Linked DNA regions of Arabidopsis thaliana. The protein of the gene in region 1 interacts with the protein of each later gene in a biochemical or structural test. Each region holds a gene or a part of one and is shown in the gene's direction. Other genes may lie near its edges.

Region 1 (8,514 bases):
CAAACTACGGTACTAATCTAGTTTTTGGGGTGGCATAAGGTAATTGCTTTTGAATGATGTAGGCATCACATCAGTAATGATGGTGGAATCATCCAGATCGAAAAAGCCGCCTTCGTCACAGTCAAAGAGTATGACATTGTTAGGGCACAGTCCGGGAAAAGAGCTAGCAAGGACACAAAAAGGTTCAGACTTTGAAAGAAAAATGCAGAGATCTCCAATATCTTGAGTGTAAACCGCGTTTCCTTGTTCGTCAAGCTTGAACACCATTAAAGCTTGTGTTTTCATTTGCGCAATACCCTTGATGATCTTGCTTGAAGACTTCTTGTACCACTTAACCAAGAAAGTTTCACCAGCTGGTGACTCAACCAAGTGCTCGCTCTTGCAACATGAATCCAGTAGCTTCTGTTTGGTCTTTGTCAGCTTGGGAAGGTTTTGAAACTGCAAGCTCTGCAAATTATGCTTGTGTGTGCGGAGATCCCATGTTCCAATGAGGTGTCCTCCAGATCCGGGAATGCAAAACATGTTATCTTTCTTGGAGTACATGACACGAGATAAGTAGAAACAAGGGTTTTCGATTCTGATGTTGATCCACTCGGAGTTACTTTGAGCCGGTCTGCAAAAGCTGAGCTGAGGTCCCAAAAACTTGACAGCCACAACACAGTCTTCATCCTCAGGAGAAGATGCGGACAATGACACATTGGTAACGATTTGAGTTTGGCAATGAGGGAGAGTTACAAGAGGAGGCAGGGGAATGCGTTTCGGGTTAGTATCCGATGCAACCGGGTTTAGATCGTCTTGGAGACGCAGTAGTCCGTCGTCCTGACTCAAAGTAGCTATCCAGCCATGGGATGAACCGATGGTTACAAGTTCATTATCATACAACAACGCCATAGGCACCTTCTTATCCAAAGAAGTGCATTCATCTTCATAAGGATTCAAAATCACGAGTTTTCCCTCTTTCGCAAGTCTTCCACAACGTTTAGCGCTGACGACGAAACAAGGAGGAGTTTGCAGCAAAGAAGATGATAAGCCATCATTAGAGAGAAGAGGAGATGATCTCACCAACACAGGTTTCCTCCGAAAGCATAGTAGCTTCAAGGGTTGGTTGAGAAGCAGCGCCATTGATAAGAAGTGTTTTAGGGGAAAGCGAGGCTGCAAGAGAATCAAATAAGAAAGAGTAAACAAAACAAAACCCTAGTTGTTGAGATGTTCACATAAATAACCACCAAGATCCGATACAATCTTAATTGGATATCATTTTAATTAACCACGTTCAAACCTTATTATATGAAGTTTGTTTCTTCGAATATATTTTCCATATACTTGATTTAATTATAAATACTTATTTACATAACAATACATACTCCAGAATCAATATCCTCAAATTTTAGAAAAACAATGTGAGATGTACATGATTGAGATAAAGCTTGAAGCTAAGTCTGATTAAGAAGAAATTAAAGTTTGCAAAATGTGGGGAAGTCTCTATACGTGTCAGAGGGTTTGAGATCTGAGAATACTTGAAGAGAGGCTATGGAGAGTAATTCGAGAAGCAAAAATAAGCAGTCGTCTATTTACTATATGAGAAAAATCTTCCTTCTAGATGTGCAAATATCCTCCTGAAAAGTTGGTCCTCGCACTGATAACAAAGAGAGATGGCTATGATGATCATATATTTCCAAGCTCATCCCATCATAATCGCGACGTCACATCCCCTAAAAAGCATATTAATTGCCAAAGTTGGTAGCATAACTCTCTTCTAATGGCGACTTAAAATGGAAATATACTAAGTGGATCTATATATTTTCAAAATTGGAAAGTATATATATGTGGATGAAGTTAGAGAAGTTAGAAATTTCAAAAGGCTTTGGGATTATATTTGTGATAACTCCCGATGATATTCCACATACAGATAAGTAAAGGTGCTACTTAGACCAAACCGATTATGAGGTTTAGAGCCAGCGAGAGACCACTTCTCATTAGACTACAAAACTTTTTTAGGTTTATTCACACACAATGTATTATAGTTCCTAATGTATACCTATTAAATTAGAGTTTGTCGAATGTTAGGATTATAGTTCGTATTGACAAACAAATATCAGTTTGAAAAATTAGGAATCTAAGAGATAATAATATAATTATTTTTTTGGGTTTAAATTGAAATTTGTGTTGGTTGGAACATTCGTTGACTCATCGTCACATCAAATAAAAATCTTAGCAAATAAAATATGTCCCATAAACATCACATAAATAAACAAAGAAATTGGAATCAATACAACAACCACTCCAAAGTGGATACAGACATAACAGGTGATGAGATGGCCATGTGATTTATTTTCCACCCGCAACACTCTAATGCTTATATATGACCAATCAAAAAAACCACTTAAACCGCCAAATAAACCGACCTTATTTTTGATAAATCAAAACCCACTTAGTCACAAATTAACCAATTTTATATGATTACACTTTCACAAATATTCATGTGTAGATTTCTTTGAAAATTTTCAGGTGCTGCAATCACGAGTGACCGAATTATTTTTGAAAATTTAAACCGAAATGAAATTAAACCGAACCATATTCAATTTTGAAAATGAAATCTAAAACCGGATTAATAAACCAGTACCATAATCTGAACGGTCCAAAAAGTATTGACCCATCTCTCTCTCTTGGTCGCTCGTTCTCAAAGGGCAAAGAAAAAAGGATTTTTAATTTTCGGAGAGGAAGAAGAAGAGAGAGATATTGAAGAGCGCTGAAGGCGGAAAAGACTATTTTGACCTCGTCGTCTCCGTAGATCATTTTTCTTCAGCTCTTCTTCTTCCTCTTTCTCCGATTCTCCTTCTTTTGATTTTATCTATCCGCCATGAACGAGAAAGCCAACGTCTCTAAGGAGCTTAATGCCCGCCATAGAAAGGTCTCTCTCTAATCTCGAATCTCAGATTCTCTTATTTTATTTTCTCCGAGCTTTGTGGATTTGTCGTCATATATTTGAATTTGGTTGCCAACAATATATGATCGATCTTAATTCGATTGGATCTGTGCATTAGCAGCTATCCTTCCTTCATTTTCTTCGGTTTCCTCTAGTTAGGAGAGGATTTGTATCGTCGATCCTTATCTTCTTCGATCGATTGAGCTAGAATTATTATTCATCAGCAATGAAAATCAGTTTCTCTATTTCGATTTGTTGTCTAGGACAATAGTTGATCACGATCGGGTTTTTGAATTGTTTTATATTCAACGTCGGCTTATTGAATGTTACAGTTTCATGGAGCTTGAATTCTAGTGTTTTCCTATAGAAATTCGTATTCAATTGTTTGATTTTGGAAAGAATCGAACACAGGGATCCAAGGAGCTTAGCGTCCCATAGGGATTTTCATTTGTGCTTGGTAGTCTTTGAGTTATTTGCCATGTTGAAACTATTAGTTGTAGTTGGGATAGCTTTGTGGGATTGGTGATGCATACATGTATAGGATATTAGGAATGATGTTGTATGTCGAGTCTTCGAGAACTTTGGTGTTCATTCATTGACGAAACTTATCTCATACTGCAATGAGAACTTTGATTCATTTTGGTTAGTTAAACATGTCAATTCTGATAATTTTGAAGTTTTCTTGAGATACTCTATATTTTGTATGTGTAGATTCTTCTTTATGTTTTGCGACGTATGATTTTTTCGTTTATGTAGTCTATTGCTTGAATATTCATTTGATTTTGGTGCTACTTATCTGCAGATTCTTGAAGGGCTTCTTAAACATCCAGAGAACAGAGAATGTGCTGACTGCAAAACAAAGTATAGTTTTCTACCTGATGTGAATTTTCAGCATTATTATGCTGGTTCATGTATGTATTTGCTAATACTGTTCCATTTGCTTTGCAGAGGTCCAAGATGGGCTAGTGTTAATTTAGGTATCTTTATCTGCATGCAATGTTCTGGGATTCACAGGAGTCTCGGGGTACACATATCGAAGGTAGTCTCTCACTTTCCTTTCTACATTTGTTTTCTTGATGCTGCATTTTTTTACGAAAGCTCAGATATTAATTCGATGAATAACTCATTCCATTTGGCTCAAATTCTCTGCACAAATTTTCAATTTGGTTTTTGTATTAGCAATTTCATTTTGTATTTTCCATCACAAGAGCTGGAAAGTTTGACATGAATGCATTAAATCTCCCCACCTTCTTGTACTCCCATTGTCGTCGATACAGTTTACACACGAACTTCAAGCAACTCTGTGCAAAAGTACATGATTTGATTTCGCCCTCTGATTTTTGTATGAGCCGTGTCCTTTTGTCAAGTAGATGTTAACCTTAGCAGCATAAGCTACTTTATTTTCTACCAAAACACCTGACTGGGCTAATGAGTGCAGGTTCGATCTGCCACTCTGGACACATGGCTCCCCGAGCAGGTTGCATTTATACAGTGTAAGTGTCTTTTAAACTAAATGCTCTATGGCTGATTCATGGGTTGTTACGCAATGTAAAGTATATAATCTTTTATTTGCATGCAGCAATGGGAAATGATAAAGCAAATAGTTACTGGGAAGCAGAGCTACCCCCAAACTATGATAGAGTTGGAATTGAGAATTTTATACGTGCAAAGTATGTATCTCTCTTTTTCATTATACAAACTTTTCAGTTAGTTCCACCTCATTGAATTGTCTATCTTGCTATTCATATGGACGTTGAAATCATTCTTATGACATATGACTTTTCTAGGTATGAAGAGAAGAGATGGGTTTCTAGAGGGGAAAAGGCTAGATCACCTCCTAGAGTCGAGCAGGAACGGCGGAAATCTGTGGAGAGAAGTGGGCCGGGATATGAGCATGGACATAGTAGTAGTCCTGTAAATTTGTTTGAGGAGAGGAAAACTATTCCAGCATCTAGAACAAGAAATAATGTTGCTGCAACGAGAATAAATCTTCCCGTGCCTCCCCAAGGACCCAGTCAGGTACCAAACATACTTCTCAGAAGATCTGTATAACTAAAGAGCCATACCTTTAGTTACTCATCAGTATTAAGGATCCGTATTCCTTGATCTTATTTAATAATCTTAGGATATCAGCTATGAGATCATTATTTTTGTCAATGCATATGCTGTAGCTGTCAGATCATTATTTTACTCACTGTGTTTTTAGAGCCTCATAATCTGTCAACGTGTCTTTCTTACAGTATCCAAACCCTGGTTTTTCTGATACATGATGCTAAAAATGACAGGTTATAAAGCCACAGCAGAAAATGGAGTCTGCAGCTACTCCAGTAGAGAGGGAGAAACAAGCAGTAAATGTTGCACCAGCATCAGATCCTCCAAAGGTGGATTTTGCTACTGATCTGTTTAACATGCTATCAATGGATGATTCGACTACAAATACCTCAGAGGCAACTCCTGGCGATACTCCTGCCGATGATAACTCATGGGCTGGCTTTCAGTGTATGTATCTATCTAGCATGTGATAATCTAACATCGTGGCACATTTTTCCTATCCTTGTTAACTTTATGTCAATTGTTCTTCTTTTGAAAATGCTTTGGAGTAATAGATTAATTTCTGAATCCTAAAACTGTAGCTGCTGGAAGTGGTCAAACGGCAGAGAAAATTGTCACAGCCAAGCCTGCTGAGAGCAGTTCTCCTCCAGCTTCATCTTCTGACTTTGAGGATTTGTTTAAGGACACACCTAATTTAACAACTCAACAAGCACCAAAAGATGTGAAAGGCGATATCATGAGCCTGTTTGAGAAGGTAAATTATTAGTTAATTATATACGCTTCTCAGATTTCACTGCTTTGTTGATATTCAGCTTTCCAAGTTTCGTTTTTGTATCATTATTTAACTTACATTTACAAATATAGCGAATGATATGATTTGTGTTTTGTTATCACTTACTATGATTTCTTCAACACGGGACATTTGGAACACCAGAGCAGATTCAAGTGATATAACTCTGTGTGTTCTATTTGATTACAGACGAATATAGTATCGCCTTTTGCCATGCATCAGCAACAGGTTGCTATGCTCGCTCAGCAGCAAGCCCTTTACATGGCTGCAGCGAAAGCTGCTGGAGGCACTCCAAACGGCGTGAATCAACAAGCTATTGCTAATGCTCTTAACGTAGCTTCTGCAAATTGGTCAAACCCCGGCGGCTACCAGATCCCCGGAATGACTAACCCCGTAGGTGGTCAAGCTGATCTCCAGAAACTTATGCAAGTAAGATCTCCCCTTTACTTTTTTTAAGCAAGATCAATATTACCATTGACCAAAGTTCTTGCAAAATTCTCACTAATTCTTGCTCTCTGTTACATCGCCATAATTTTAGAACATGAATATGAACGCAAACATGAACACGAGACCCGCACAACCGCAAGAGAACACTCTACAATACCCATCATCCAGGTATGCACACAAAACTGCATCTTGTTTGTTTCTTCTGAAAACATCATAACGTTATCAAAAGTGCTTAACCTAACTAACTCTCATATGATCTTTGGTTGTTATTAATAATGCAGTTTCTACACAATGGGTCAAGCTAATCAAGTGAACGGTATGACCCCAAACTCAACCGGTAAACCTCAGTCATCATCCGCAACCCAACCAACAAGCACCACACCATCTTCACAATCAGGCAAAGACTTTGATTTCTCTTCCTTGATGGATGGAATGTTCACAAAACATTGATCAAGAGAGAGAGACTTTTTCTGAATTTGCCTTTACATCTTTGTTCTAAATTTGAAGAACCAAAAGAATATATATACAATCATCTCTGGACAGTTTTTCTCTGTTAAACATATATTTTCTTTTCTTTGGAACTGTGTTGTAGCCGAGCTTTGATTTATGATTTTACTCGATTGTCGAAAAATTAATAGATGTAATTCTTGCTAAGAAAGGAAAAAAAAAAAAGATTTATCGGTGAGACCGCCACAAAACGTGGATTGTTCTCTTCCACTTACTGCTTTTATTTGCTTTGGTACGAAGTTTGTGACATACCAATTTTTTGGAACTAAGCAAAACAAAGAAACGGTTCCGAAAAGCCTTTGAAAGAAAACAAATTAATCGACCTTTATTGGTAAGATCAATAAAGGCGACGTGTTGATATTGAACTTGTTTCTTGTTATGGGCGGCTGTTTTAGCGTTATAAAGTTTTGAGTTTGGCATTGTCGGGCTTTCGGTCAAATGGCTTAAAGCTCATCCTCCTTCTTCACCACAAGCTTGTGTACCTCCCACTAGCCAACCTTTGTTTACCTTTTTCGTTACAAGATGTTTTATTAGCTACAAAATGCAAAACTGTAATCAATGATGACAACGTAAATCTGTAAATACCATTTCTACAAATCCTCGCTTGATCACAAAGCACAACAAATGAAGTTGTGCACTACATTGTATTTAATTATATTATTTTCTTGCATTTTTTTTGGTTTTCTCTTACACGTACATCGTCCTTGATCTAATGCAAACATAAACTAAAACACCACGTTGGACTTTAGCATTACTCATTTGGTTATTATAACAAAAATACCATGTCGGACTTGTACCGACCTTAGGGCAGAAGTTTAAAGTTTAAGTTCTATTATACTATGTAGAGGATATAGCCAATATTTATGATGCATAAGAAGATCAATCAGTATCAAGTACAAAAATCCAAAATGGTCGGTAGAATTTTGTTGTGCTTGTTGACCCGTAATGCGATATATATCTTTCGTGAGTTTGAATTGTCAAATCAAATCTACTATTAATATAAGCACTAATATGAAAACAAAATTGAACGTTTAGCATTGAGAATGATATATACGTATGCATCTATCTCAATTATTTTATGTTACAATCTGCATGTCCTTATCTAAAACAGTATTCACATGCATCATAATTCGCATTCTCACTATGACTTTCAACTATTAATTTTACAATGTCAATGAAAAATGGCCTACATTACCTAAAAATCCTAGCTCAACAGTAACTACTTTGTTTTTTTTTGCTAGCAACCATAACTTTTTTACAATTATATAATTTTACAATAACAAAACCAAAAAAGAATATTTCCATTTACAAATATCTTCTAGATCGGCTAAACTCAAATTAACACTAACATACATAAAATGAACTAATGAAGACTCGAAATTTCTCCCCAAAAAAATAAATAAAATGAAGACACAATCGACTAAATTTTTTGTTGCCAAGTGAAAAAACAAAAATCAACGGTACGACTTGGTACGTAGGTGGCAGATTCTCGAATCTCAAATTCTCTAATCACACACAATGCATAAAATATTGTACTTCTATTGTCAAAATCTTGTTGCAAATGTTAGGCAAGCTTATATTATAAGTTTATAACTTAAAACGTCAAAACCCAAAACTGACACGTGTCACTCAGATAAGCCTCCATAACCATACCCTCAATAAATAAGGCCCACTTATGATTCTGTAAAAAGCCCACACAAACACGGACCACATTTTTAAGAATTTATAAATTTCACCGTATCTATATAAATCCACACATCTCAAAGCTTCTTTAGTTTATTTTCGTAGATAA
Region 2 (5,525 bases), about 21 Mb from region 1:
GTCCAAGATTTTCTTCGGTCGCATCTGCAAAAGTGTCTTCTTTTACCGTGGGACAAACGGCATCCTCTGAAGCTAGCTGGAACAGCCAAACCGGTTTGCTCTCTAACAAAAACCGCCAAGGATCGGACAGAGATGGACGTAGAAGCAGCAAGAAAGGACCAAGATGGTTTTTTAGACGCAGGGCTTGTCCATGTTCTAGCTCCAAGTCCGTTCAGGTCCAAGAATCCAAACCAAGAATCGCAGTGCCCAAAACCGGTTCTGACCGAATCGTCTCGAACCGAATAGTTCATAGTCATCAGACGATATCTTCACCTGAGCCAATAAGATTAACGATCCCTTCAAACACTGTGACTCGGTCCATCGATTACACTGCAAACAAAGAAGCTAGAGCTCCAGTTAGTAATTTTAGCTTCCCAACTCTAAACGAAACTTCACAATTATCAGAAAATCCCAAGAATCCGGTTTTGAATCATATTAAACCGGTACGAATTGAACCGGCTCTGCTTCCGATTAAACCGGTTCTGAATCCTACGAGTCCCAAGGGAGTCATCATAGACGAAGAAGCCACAAGCGACGCAAGCTCCGATCTTTTTGAGATAGAGAGCTTCTCTACTCAAACCGCAGCTCGTCCATGGGCTCCACCAGTACGGGACTCGATGGAAGAGACCGTGTCTGAGTACGGTTACGAGCCAAGCGAAGCAAGTGTTACTTGGAGCGTTATGACCGCCGAGCCGGCCTCGGCCGTTGCAGCTAACTTCTCAAGAATTGCCTTGTCGTCATCGTCTACAGCATTTAGTGGTTACGATAAGAAGAGAACCGGTTTGTTGAACTGTCATTGTGAGAAGGCGGTTATGGTTAACGGCGATAAGCGTTTAGTGCAACCGGTTAAGAGCGTTGGTGTTCAAAACGACGTCGCGGGAAAGGTGTTGTGCAACAATGGCAGTTCTAAACTAAGCGTGACGAGTAGACCAAGGCAATGATGGATACCAAATCTTTGTTCTTGGTTTAGATCCGGTTTTCTCCAGTTATCTTGGTGTGTTTTGGATGCTTCTCGTGTAAAATTGCTCTGTTTTTTCTTCTTCTTTTTTTTGGTTAATATAACTTGTGTAATGATTAATGAAGATTATGGTTTGTGAAGTAAACAAAATCAATGTGTCCTGTATTTATCACAATATTGATCACATTTTTTTGTAATAACCGGAGTAAATCCCGGAGTGAAACCCAAACTAATCCTCAATACTTGTATGTTGTATTTAAGGCGTCTATAGTCAAGAAATAGATTCGTAGCCTTGACCCACATAGCGAATCCTCTATCCACTCGAACAAACCAATGGACCACAAAACACTTGGTTATACGATTTCTTTCTTTAGAAACCTCATCCACTACTTCTTTGAGGTCCCATGGAAACATCAATCTTCAAAGATTGTAGGCGGGCTGAATTGAGCAAAAGAAGATGCCCCATGTGTCTTTGTTGTAGGTACATTCAGAAAACAAGTGGTTCTTGGATTCAGGTGCATTACAGAGGAGACAAAAATTTCAAGAATATTCATGCCCCAATTCCTTAATCTATCACGAGTTGGGAACTTGGGAGATGATTCCAAGCCGTTACCCAAGAGATAATAAATGCATGCATAGGAATATAAACAACTTTATGCAATAAACAGACTGTAGTATTGGTCATCGATTTAGTTTTGTTTATTTGTTAAAAACATAATCCAGCATGTGTTTTTATCACATAAAACCAAAAAGAAAAATTCTCAGTTGATGAAGACGTTTAATTTCTGATTAGTCTTTCGTTTACTAAAAGCTTTATCTTTTAATTTGAATGCTTTTTATTTTGTTAAAGAGTTTACCATTGAAAGTTTGATTTCTTTTTTGGGGATATAACTTGTAAATATGAAGTCAAGAGTTAGGCTCGTAGGTGAAGTGAAGATGGTGCTAATAGCATAAATGGTTCGTCTCAAAAAGACTTTTCCGTTGCGTGCACGAAGTATATAGACGGTCCTTTAGGATTAAGGCAAATTATAGTTTGGTCAATTGACATTATTTTCAACAATGTATACGTTATATACATTCGTATATCATAGCATTTAAAGTTAATTAGCTCCTCTCTTCCCTTAGATAGCTAGATGGATTAGGTCTAAATATTTGGGAAAATGACTTCCCTTTTGAAGTTACGTATATATCCAAGTTAACCAAATTAATCATGAATCCATGACTTAGGATTAATTATGTCTTTCTCAAAAGTCTGATTTAAGGTTTAGTTTCTTGCTTGAAAGCATTAATAAGTCAAGAGTAAGCCATTAAAAAATGTTCCATAGCTTAAAAGCAAACTAGACTTGAAAATATAAATACTAATATCGTATGTAACTTGAACTTCACTACACGAAACCTCAATCATAAATACACATTAGCTCCAAAACCACAACACTGCACATGAAAACTAAACACACGTACACAAGAAACCCCAAAACATTTTGCCTAGAAAGTTGTTTAAATTACCTCTTAAACCTTAAGAAATCATATCCAGAAACTCAATGGATCAACAAGGGATGGTCAAGAAAAGACTAGCCGTTCTCGTCGGCTGCAACTACCCTAACACAAGGAACGAGCTTCACGGTTGCATCAATGATGTTCTAGCCATGAAAGAAACTATTTTGTCACGTTTCGGATTCAAACAAGACGACATTGAGGTGCTAACGGACGAGCCAGAATCAAAGGTAAAGCCGACAGGTGCCAACATCAAGGCTGCTCTACGTAGGATGGTGGATAAAGCTCAAGCCGGATCTGGAGACATCTTGTTCTTCCACTACAGTGGCCATGGAACTCGTATTCCTTCGGTTAAATCTGCTCATCCTTTTAAACAAGACGAAGCTATTGTTCCTTGTGATTTCAATCTCATCACAGATGTTGATTTCCGAGAATTGGTCAATCAACTTCCTAAAGGAACAAGCTTTACCATGATCTCTGATTCTTGCCATAGTGGTGGTCTCATCGACAAGGAGAAAGAACAGATCGGACCCTCTTCGGTCTCCAGCAACATATCTCCGGCTATTGAGACAACGAACAAGACTATAACATCACGTGCCTTGCCCTTCAAGGCAGTCCTTGACCACTTGAGTTCTCTCACCGGAATTACAACTTCCGACATCGGCACACATCTACTTGAGCTCTTTGGCCGCGATGCTGGTCTTAAGTTTCGGTTACCGGCAATGGATCTAATGGATCTTTTGGAGACTATGACGGCCCGTGAAAAACACGTGGACTCAGGGATATTGATGAGCGGGTGTCAGGCGGATGAGACGTCTGCTGACGTCGGCGTTGGGAACGGGAAAGCGTACGGAGCGTTTAGCAACGCGATTCAAAGGGTGTTGAACGAAAATGAAGGTGCCATGAAGAACAAGCAACTAGTGATGATGGCAAGGGATGTGCTTGAGAGACTAGGGTTTCATCAACACCCTTGTCTCTACTGCAGCGACCAGAACGCAGACGCGACGTTCCTTTCTCAACCTTGAATTTTAAACGTTTGCGTTGTTTTCTTTTATTTGTTTTATCACGTTTGCCTTTGGGGTTGTTGTAAATTGTTAACTGGTGGAATGTGTGTATTTTCTATTCTCTGTGGTGTACTCTAAAAGGAAAAAGGACATATAAAACTTGTTTAATAACATTTATCTTTTTTAATGGTACAAAAAGGTTTAATTAAAGCTTTTCTAGAGAATGTACTAATTTAGTTACCAAGTCAGCAGTATTGGAGCTAGAAGAACCAACCTCTTGGGTTGAAGAAATGGCAGCACCAGTCATTTTGTGCTGCCATTTTTCAGTAGGTCCCCACAAGAGTTTAACCCTCTGGCCTTTGATGTCAGTCCAGGAGGAGAGCTCAAGCATGGCCTTCTCAGCAGCTAGACGGGTAGTGTAAGTGAGGAAGGCACAGGTGCCTCCTCCTCGGTGGGGGAAGATAACAATAGATTCGATTTCACCATAGGGGCAGAAATGGTCTCGGATGTCCTGCTCGAGGACACTGGAGTTAATAAGTCTACGGATGTAAAGAGTTTTAATACTTTGATCCTCTGGTGGTTTCAAAGGGCCCGTGTTACAAGCTCTTGCAAGCACCTCGAGTACAAATGGGTTTTCTAACCTGCGGTGAAGAAAAATACATGAAACACACAAACAAACAAAGACTCGAGAATATATATACATCTATATATGTATGTAGAATAGCTTACCCAGAACGACCATGACAATCTAAGCCTCTGTTGATCTCATGGCGGTATAGACACATGGTACCTCTTGTACACTGGCGACCAGCGTCGAATAAAGGACAAATTGGTATGCAGTCTAGTTTCCTACTTTTATCCTCAATTTGGGCCATAAAAAACTACATTGAAGACAAACAATCAATATATCACCAGACCACGTAGATACAAGCAACTAGACGAAATTGGTAGCGCTAACTAATTCCTAAAACATAAGAAGAAGATTTACTCCAATATACGTACGTACAGAAAACATCAACATTTAATATGTACTTCGAAATTTTATTAAAATTATATGATTTTGATCAAGTACATGCAAGATTTTACAAAGGCCATACTAGAACAAAACTTCATGCCAGAATTGTTATCAGTTTTGTTAACTAGTTGTCCAACGGATCTCAATGTGAATAATGCCGTTTCTGGAATTGATAAGATGGTATTTCTGGTTGATCCTTCCATTGTCAACTACATCGTCCAGATTTATGTCTACATGTCCTAGTTCCTCCTATACAGAGATTAAGCAAAGGTATAATAAGTTGAAATGTCTCTGTCTGCTTTAACAGAGATTTTAACAGGCATGAGATCTTTACCTTGGATCGAAAGTGAAAGCCGGTTCCTTTACTCATGACCTCAACGCGTATACTCTCTTTCACTGGAGGCTCCTCTAGTGTAAACTGGAATTCCTCGTTCCATCGAGGGTCTCGTGTTTTCTTCAGCATCTGATCAAGAAAAAGGTAGCCAATATAACTCAAAATAGTTCTTAAGTAGCTTCTCAGCAAAATGCAGATTTAGAATTTTACCTTAGTTTTCTTCTTTTCTCCTCTGAAGAGAACAACAGCATAAGGGTTCGAGTGTTTCTTCTTGCCCTCGACATCTTTTGCAGATTGGACTGCAACCGAGAGTAGACCGGCTTGGCTGAGAAAATCATCGTCCTCTGATGATTTCTCTTCTCTGCTCTCTTTTCTACGCTTAATGCTTTCTTCTCTGAATGGCACATACCTGAGATCAACCTCTAATCTTCCTCTTTTTTTCTTGTCTCCAGAATCCATAACAACATTTGAGTTCTTAATCAGATCAAGATTAAACTCCTTCCTCTCACCCGGGTTAATCTTTTGCAAAGGGATCATCTGCATTCCTAATCTGTCGTGCCCACCGACCTATACAGATACAGAGCCGCTTTAGTAAGAATGGCATAAAATGTTGAACTAGAGAAGAAATGGGATCATTAGATGCATGGACCTTGTCCCAGTCAAAGACTTCTAGTTGAAGGA

Evidence for each region.
Region 2: of the proteins of AGD5 (region 1) and MC9, one has a biochemical effect on the other in vitro, tested with the Arabidopsis thaliana proteins (one large-scale study listed by BioGRID).

Annotation. Positions count from the first base shown.
Region 1 is NC_003076.8:22,055,413-22,063,926, reverse strand, and holds AGD5 (ARF-GAP domain 5), read left to right. Parts: upstream 1-2,656; 5' UTR 2,657-2,860; coding exon 2,861-2,911; intron 2,912-3,728; coding exon 3,729-3,787; intron 3,788-3,874; coding exon 3,875-3,965; intron 3,966-4,364; coding exon 4,365-4,419; intron 4,420-4,505; coding exon 4,506-4,596; intron 4,597-4,713; coding exon 4,714-4,945; intron 4,946-5,211; coding exon 5,212-5,425; intron 5,426-5,559; coding exon 5,560-5,732; intron 5,733-5,957; coding exon 5,958-6,197; intron 6,198-6,306; coding exon 6,307-6,383; intron 6,384-6,496; coding exon 6,497-6,665; 3' UTR 6,666-6,941; downstream 6,942-8,514. Other genes in the region: AT5G54320 (hypothetical protein (DUF295)), read right to left, coding at 13-1,122. UniProt on the Arabidopsis thaliana protein: GTPase-activating protein (GAP) for ADP ribosylation factor (ARF). Mediates clathrin-dependent trafficking of vacuolar cargo from the trans-Golgi network (TGN). Promotes plant growth.
Region 2 is NC_003076.8:1,151,355-1,156,879, forward strand, and holds MC9 (metacaspase 9), read left to right. Parts: upstream 1-2,385; 5' UTR 2,386-2,538; coding exon 2,539-3,516; 3' UTR 3,517-3,686; downstream 3,687-5,525. Other genes in the region: PKS4 (phytochrome kinase substrate 4), read left to right, coding at 1-980; AT5G04210 (CCCH-type zinc fingerfamily protein with RNA-binding domain-containing protein), read right to left, coding at 3,701-4,136, 4,225-4,370; SYTC (Calcium-dependent lipid-binding (CaLB domain) family protein), read right to left, coding at 4,631-4,759, 4,845-4,973, 5,055-5,411, 5,494-5,525. UniProt on the Arabidopsis thaliana protein: Cysteine protease that cleaves specifically after arginine or lysine residues. Does not cleave caspase-specific substrates. Required for proteolytic processing of GRI.